Linked DNA regions of Kluyveromyces lactis. The protein of the gene in region 2 interacts with the protein of the main gene of each other region in a pairwise test. Links are inferred from orthologs where the notes say so. Each region holds a gene or a part of one and is shown on either strand. Other genes may lie near its edges.

Region 1 (4,013 bases), on a different chromosome or scaffold from region 2:
CTGAGTTTACGTAGAACTTGAATTATCTCTTCCCATCCCATTCCAAGAGCAAAAATAAAAAAAAAACTAAAAAAAAACTAAAAAAAAATAAAAAAAAAAATACCACGACAAATTCTTGGAGAAGTACGGCCACAAACGGAAAAACCGTTTCTTTCCTCGGTGTTTTCTTTATTCTGTATTCCGATCTGGACACACATTATTGTTCGATTATGTTTCGAGAGCTGTTTGAAGAGATTTGACTGAAAGTGCCGTACAGAAAGAACTCACACAGGCCATTACCAGTGAAAATCAAATGTGCCTTCATTCTTTTTTTTTTTTTTTTCGTTTTACACTATTTACAATTAACTGTGCTTTGCTCGCATATGATCGTTATGATGTGATTAATTAATATATACAGTTCCCTATTTAGATCCTGCATTTACTGTACTTCGAATGCGAAGAAGTACGGGGAAAATTTTGGTTGATGGACCAGTTCCTTTACCCCGCGAATAATTCTCTCATTATCTTGTCGATTGCTTCAAAACGCCTGAGGCAATTTCTTGCAGCCATGCCAATTCAATTCGAGAAACAGACCGCGCGTATCCCTTTGTTGTGAATACGTGTTCGATGTATAATATCGCAGGGCATGGACCTATTTCATCGCCACTATTCATGAATAACATCGAGGACGGATGGATCGATATTGGTTCCCCTGTTGGCGTTGTTCTAAAAGATTTATCAGGCATTCCAATTGCAGTGTTCTTGACAAACCCATATAGGAAACATTTTAAAACACCCGCAATGTCTGGCGGCTGCAACAGATTCGTAGCAATGTCTTCTTCTGGTTGTAGGGTGTCCTGTTTTGTTTTAATTTCTACCGGTTCATTGTACAGTCTCTTCATATACCCTGTCAACTGTTCTCTGACTTTAATCACGTTTTTGAATCCACGCTGAGATACACATAACTGTTTACACCATTCTTGTTTCTCCGAATTGCTTTGTAATGATTGATACATGTCGAATAACTCTTTTAGCATGATTAGGTCACCGTGCTTACTGCCTAGGGTACATAATGCCCTTCTTCTTTCGTTGACCTCATCTCGTTCCTCAGGCAATGGGTTTAACACCAAGTTTTCAACACTCAGACATGATACTATATCTATGACGTATGGCAATACTTGAGTCTCTTGAGCATGAATCAAAACGTTACTTAGATGTGGTGCTAAAGGTAATAGCGCCATCTTGCGACCTCTATCAGTGACACGACCCTGTTCATTGAGAGCACCAAGTTCATATAATTCTTTTAGCCCCGAGATAATAGCTTCTTTCCCTGGATGTTCTAGCCACGACCAGTTTACAATATCTTGTACGCCGTACTGTTTCAACATCAAGATAGGGGACGTAATTTCACATCGAGTAATTTCGGACTCAGATTGTTTCGGCAGTTGTTTGTAATCAGCTTCTGTAAATAATCTAAAACATTTACCTGAACTTTCTCTGCCTGCACGACCGGCTCTTTGTGCTACACTAGCCTTTGAAACAGGAACAGTTAGTAACGTAGCTAGCCCCAACTGATGCCTCCAAACTTTCACCTTCCTTAATCCACAGTCTATCACATATTTAACTCCAGGAATGGTAACAGATGTTTCCGCAATGTTAGTCGCCAATACGATTTTTCTTTTGAATCCCTTTAAAGGTTCGAAGACTTTAGCTTGATCTTTTGGTGGTAATGCAGCATAAAGTGGGTATGCTGTGATGCGTGGTACAGATTCGTCTAAATATGGAATGATTTTGTTTAAAATGGCCACTGCTTTATCAATCTCTTCTTGCCCCGGTAAAAAACAGAGTATATCTCCTGTAGTTTCTGAACTGTTTAACTGAACTGAACAGCGTACCACACTATCCACTATATCTTCACAAGGTCTGGGTAGATAATATCTGTCTACTTTGAATTTGCGGCCTTCAACGAATAGTATAGGTGCGTTCGAAAAGAATTTGCTGAATAGATCTGCTTGTAATGTGGCAGACATTACTATTACTTTCAAATCTTTCCTTTTGGTCAGTTGAAGTTCCTTCAAAAAACCTAAAATCAAATCCGTCAATATAGTTCTCTCATGTGCTTCATCTATGATTATGCATTTATAATTGGATAGGTTCTTGTCCAGCATTAATTCTCTGATTAACATACCATCTGTCAAGTATTTCAATTTAGTTCTTGTCTTGTGACTTTTATTATCAAACCGAACAGAATAACCAACTTCGTGACCAATTCTACATCCGTGCTCTTGCGCCACCCGAGTTGCAAGATTGATTGCTGCAACTCTACGTGGTTGAGTAACAGCTATGGCCCCTTTGTGCATCGGAGAAATCTCATCCATCAAAAATTGGGGAATTTGTGTAGATTTACCAGAACCTGTTTCACCAATCAATATGGTAACTGGATTAGCTTTAATGTGAGACACGATCTTTTCCTTATTCTGGAATACTGGTAAACTCTCACGCCCTTTCAATAACCTCAGTGCCCTTGTCTTTAACTCTTTATTTGACACATGATCCAAGGCTTCGGAATCCGAATCCCCAGTATCTCCATCTTGATGGTCATCAAAAGTAACTACGGTCTTCTTCCCAGCGTGACGTTTTAACGGGTTTGCATTGGATTTCTTCTTTCCAATGGACTTCCCATTCTGCCGGTCTTGAACCGCTTTACTCTTCTTTCCCATCTGAGTGATAGGTCTATAGTTGAATCAAACTCGAGTGGGTCAACAAATAAGGAAGCTGTAGATCCTCACTGCTAGCTCCTTACAGCAAGTGGTTGGCAATAATAGCAATAATCTCAACTCAAGAAAGCTGAAAAGACCTTTGACAAAACCAAGCTTGTAATTTTCCATAGCTCATCGCATCTCATCTCTGGAAATAGCTACTATTTACGTTTCTGCTGAAAATTTTCTTAGCTCATCATCGATTCAATATTGCCAATGAAAAAAAAAACTGATATTGTTGATACATCTGGCATAAGATGATGGCTGACAAGAAGTCCTGAATGTATATCACACCTAACTCTCTTGCTTCACTTTCAAGCGTTACAGAGGAACTCTCATAATAAACGATTAGTCTATTATTCAATACTATACTGGAACGATATCCATTTATCAGCAGTGACAAATTCTCATCATTGCCTTAACATAGAGAAGGAATAACACCATCAAGAGAAAATTAGTTTATATATATATATATATAAACTAATGCTGTCTTCGGTGTAGTAAAAGAGTATCATATTCTTTGAACAGGGTGCTCTTTACTGGGCTGCGTCTCTTAATTGTAATTCCACGATGATTTGAACAGTGTTGAACTTGTATTTTCTCAAGCACCTTCGAAACTGAAAAAAAAAGCTTTATTTCAGCATGGTAGATAAACTCAACCTACAGCGTTAGACCTATAGGGGACCGTTCACCAATCACATCTGGGGAAAACTATATATTATCTGTGGCTACGACGTTAACCACTGCATCTACTATCTACATTTCACTCTCTCATCTTTTTTCCCGTGATATGAGTATACTTTCTAGAGCTGCTAATAAGTTGCAACCGGGCAAGACGCTACTGGTTCCAAAAAACAAATTCAAAGTAGCAGATGAAGAATGGGGACATCTACCTGAGTACGTGGTTCCAGCAGCTAACAAGATTGTACATCCATTCTACCAATATCCTAATGCTACCGAACGCACAGCTTTGTGCATCACTGAAAGGAATCCAAAACTTTTCAATGGGAAGCCGGTATTACCAGCATTTGTGAGACACCCAGTGACAAGTGAATCTACTCTAGTGGAATCCAGATTGAGTTTTGACACAGTTAAAGATGTATCAAAATGGGTTCAGAGAATACATAAATCCGGAGACCGTCTCTTTCATAAAGTCAACATTACTTCATCAGACTCCGGACCAAAAGTGAGAAAAACGAAACTGACCTCGGAGTCTCCATTTGTTAAACAATTAGACAACTTTTTGAACAGCCATCCACAGCTGTCATTCGAGAC
Region 2 (4,221 bases):
CAACCAAATATCAGTAACCCTGATAATGTATGTGGTGAACTGTCGTTAAAACATATATATGAGATCGCCAAGATCAAGAAGACCGATGGAAGACACGCTGCTCTGGAACTTGAAGGAATCGTAAAGTCTATTATCGGTGTTGCTAAGAGTATGGGTATTAAGGTAGTTCCATAAACTGACTTTTTTTTCACTAATCAAAGCATCGATTTGTGAAATAGTGAAGGTCTCGATGGAGAGTTTCATTCCAACTGGTTTATTAGCATTTGTAGACCTCATTTCGTGTACATAAAATAGAATAATGAAAAGATAAAATTATAATAATATATCAACTACTATAGATGAAGATGTATATGATGATCCAAATGAACTGAAACCGAAGTGAAAAAAGATGAACTGAAGTCAGTGTGAGGTAGATGCATGTATGACTGTTTACAAAGAAAGAATGAACAAGGATGCAAGTGTATTGTAAGCCGGTAGTTTAAGGAAAGGGTTATTCAAACTTATGGGGAAATCCTTCTCTTCTTGTTTTTTTTCTTATTCTTACGTTTAGAGTTGTTCTGCGATGATGAGTGTGAAGATGGAGGTCTTTGCAATTGCGGAATACCTAGATCAGTAGATTTATTGGAAGATTGAGAGGAAAGTGGGACCGATTTTGGTGTAAGTCTAGTGTACACTAAGAAGTACGCGTTTGGCTCTTTCAAAAGCTGTTTTTCTGAAATTTTATTGATGTATTCGTCGTCATATGTGGCCCAACTTCCATCTGGTTGCTTACAATGTGCGATATAATGACCGCTAGATAAAGATCGCCCTTCATGCACAACGACACTAATTAGTTGGTATCTTACGGGTAAGGAGCTGATTGATTCATGGCAGTATTCCGTTAGATCTAAAAACATTGGATAAGATACGGCCTGCTTCATTTTGGATGAAGATGTGCCATTAAATCTGAACTTTTTTAAATGAACCACTAGAGTCTCTGGAGCACGAATAATCTTGTTTGACTTTAGCGCGTTAGTAACTTTCTTACATTTCTCACATGTATACCCTTCTTTGTTGTCCACTCTTTTGATTAACTCAGGATTGAAGAAATCCCGAATAGATTTTTCAATTGAAAACCTTCTCTTTGAAGATTGCTGTTGATCAACAGAGTTATCAATTGAATTATCTTGACCAACAGAGTTTTGATCTTGATCAGTTGTCTTTCTACCCTTTAAATGCAATGAAAGATCGTATATAGGTTGTTCAGTGGTTGAAATCTCACCACAGTTACTGCATTTAACTGATTGTTGTAGTAATCCACCGAATACATCGTAAATGATGGATTCTGTCATTTTATGGCCCTTAGGAACCGAGTCCTCTTGTAAACGTGACATTAAAGACATAAAATATTCGTGAGAGTCCTCTTGGTTCCAAGCGCTCATCATACAGTTAATGTCTTCCAACGCATTGATTAATTTATCAGGATTAATGTACGTATTTTTAGTTGAGTCAGAAGACCACATTCTCATCGTAGTTTCCGCTAATAACATGGAAACACAGTTAGACTTAACGGTGTCCTTGAAATTTCCACGTAGTAATTGAAATAAATAGTGTTGAATTGCTGGAATATGAACCATGGCTTGCACAGCAGCGTTTGTGTAACATGTGACACCATGGTTGAGTAAACCCCTTGGTTTCAGCTGGGTCAACTTAGAGCCCCAATTCTTAACTATCCTCTGTGGTTTATTAGAACCATGGTCATTAATCGACTCGTTAAATTGGTAGAAGCTTGACTTGTCCTGAAGAGTGGTAGGAGGGGTAGGTGATAGAGGTTGTGGAGATTTGTGCTTCAATTCTTCATCCTCTTCCTCTTCTTCGCCATTTTCCTCTTCTTCAGGTTTGCTCTCAGAAGCAGCCGCAGTTGAAGATGAAGACACTCCTTTGAACTGACAAGAAGAAGCAGCAGCATGTTCAGTAGCCTCCAATTTGAGTTCTTCCTTTTCCTCTGCAGAAACATCCTCGTCATTCTCGTCATCCTCGTCTTCTGCTGATGCAGAAGAAGCGTGGAATGAACTGTCATCACTATCTTCATCTTCATCGACATTTCCAGGCTGCTCAGCAGGAGCAGCTAATGCCAGCGATGGTTGAACGAATTCATTAGCCTCATGAAACACTTCATCCTCATCCTCATCCTCATCGTCGTCATCAGACGACGAGACAGGAGCAGAAGTTGCAGCAGATGATGAAGAAGCGGAAGAAGACCCAGAACCCGACATTTCGTTTGAATCTGGGGTCACTTTGTTTTCCAACAACGACACGATTGGATGCTCCTCATCTTCAGTCGAGGATCCATGATAGTCATCATCACTGAGTAAAAGCTCATTGCTCAAACCGATAGATAATTTCCCCGATGGAGTCACATGAGAAGCGGTAATTGGTAATTGCGAACTTCTGTTTGGCTTAGATTCCGCAGCGTTTGCCGCACTTTTCTTAGTGGTATACATCTTCAACGCCTCTGCAAATGATGAGGGCTTGACCACCTTCTCCTTACGGGACGCAGTTGCAGTAGCAGCTATACCCTGATGATGTCCATGCTCTAACTGATGCTCATCGCCTTCTTTGGCTTCCTGCTGCTGTTTCTGGGTGCTCGATGAGATCATAATATACGAAGAGCCTTCACCACCGACGTTATATGAGTCCTCTTGAACAGCTTTCTTGAATTCCAACGGTTGCGAAACGATACGATCCACTAGTGGTTTTACAGAATCAGTCATTACCTTAGTTCTTCCTGATAGAAAACTGCACCCTAGCCCTTTTCTGTCCGCAAGCTTTTCGAACTCTTCTGAAATAACCTGCTGTTTAGTAAAACCTTTTCTAGTATAATATTTTATTTCTCTTTATTATTTTTTTTTTCTTTGATCTGGCCTTAGAGAGGGAGGTTTTGACAGCGAAAATTCGATAAAAAAAATGGATCCAAAGAAAAAAAAAAAAGAACTGAATCTATAAACTCTGGATATCAAAGTATCCGGGTAGCAAATAACCAGACACGCTCCTTTGACACGTTTTTGTGTCTGGTTTTTGGTGTGCCACAAAAAAAGCGATATGAAAGCCGGGTAACAGCAATAATGCAATACGTCATGGTATTTTGTGTCACGTGAAAGGATACCCGGATGTTAGTCATTTTCTTAAAAACACAACATCAGTGTTCCTCAATCCACCTCGCCGTCCCATCCGCCTCTCCTCCCTCAAGCGAATAAAAAAGAAAAGAAATAGGGCGGGATCTTGTTGTCCCTTTAATCCGACCACGCTGCAATGTCTCTATGACTCTATGTTTTGGGACACAAAAATAGAGACACAAAGACATCCATAATGTCCGTCTTTTCTCCGATTGGCTCGACTGGAATCCTTATCAGATTGCAATCTCAAAAAGGGCAACTGAACAGATACCAACCTCGATAACGTTCATAACATATCCATGATTAGGCTTGTTCGATAGCCGCTGACATGCTCTATGCAGCTGATGCAGCTATGAGGTGTATTTGTTTACGTTTCCTTTGTTTACCTGTTGATAATCTCTGTTTTGTATATATAAGTGCCTATCTCTTTGTTTACGTTCTCCAGATCTCTACAACTTTGACCTTTTTCCAAAGGCTCCATCAAACTGATTATTCGATTAATCACTCTTTTCCTCTCAACTCTTTTCCCTTTGCCCCTGTGGTTGAGCTTTCCATGTGCTAATAAATCCGCAACATGTACTCGAGATTGAAAAAGAAAGGAGGGGAATTTTTATGTACATTGGGAGTAAAAATAGTATCAGTCACTGACACAACCATTAGCCTCCGATTGTTAACCCCCCGCAAACACGTTTGACAAGGACTAGTTGTGGGTGGATTGAGTAATTAAAACGTTGCCGTATTGCTTGTAACTCTGTGACGCCTATATCTCCATAGTATCAGCGTTTTTGTAGCCTTCTTGAAAGAAAGGAAGAGGTAAGCCGAGGAGCTGAAACTCCAACAAAATGGAGATATGCAACTCTAAGATCTATGTGTTTAGATCTTTATTTACAGTTTCGAAAGTTGGTCATTATCTTTGTTTGTTTCTGACTTTGTAACGATTTGGAACGGCACTGAAAGCTATGACTGCTCCGAATGTGTTTACATTTGATTCAGGTTTTGGGCTTTCAAATTTCTTTCTTTTCTTCACTTTTTCTCTGTTGTCATGGTTTGTTTATTAGGCCTCCTG

The links. The genes of interacting proteins can lie anywhere in the genome.
Region 1: the proteins of UBP10 (region 2) and DHR2 interact in a two-hybrid assay, tested with the Saccharomyces cerevisiae proteins (4 studies listed by BioGRID, with this or other methods). The link is inferred for Kluyveromyces lactis from reciprocal best matches to the Saccharomyces cerevisiae genes UBP10 and DHR2.

The regions. Positions count from the first base shown.
Region 1 is NC_006042.1:2,427,046-2,431,058, reverse strand, and holds DHR2 (RNA helicase), read right to left. Parts: upstream 2,700-4,013; coding exon 501-2,699; downstream 1-500. Other genes in the region: AEP1 (Aep1p), read left to right, coding at 3,529-4,013. UniProt on the Saccharomyces cerevisiae protein: Probable ATP-binding RNA helicase. Required for 18S rRNA synthesis.
Region 2 is NC_006040.1:717,546-721,766, forward strand, and holds UBP10 (ubiquitin-specific protease UBP10), read right to left. Parts: upstream 2,754-4,221; coding exon 501-2,753; downstream 1-500. Other genes in the region: MRPL19 (mitochondrial 54S ribosomal protein uL11m), read left to right, coding at 1-174. UniProt on the Saccharomyces cerevisiae protein: Deubiquitinating enzyme involved in telomere and HM loci silencing, which is the repression of chromatin structure which leads to a stop in the transcription of nearby genes.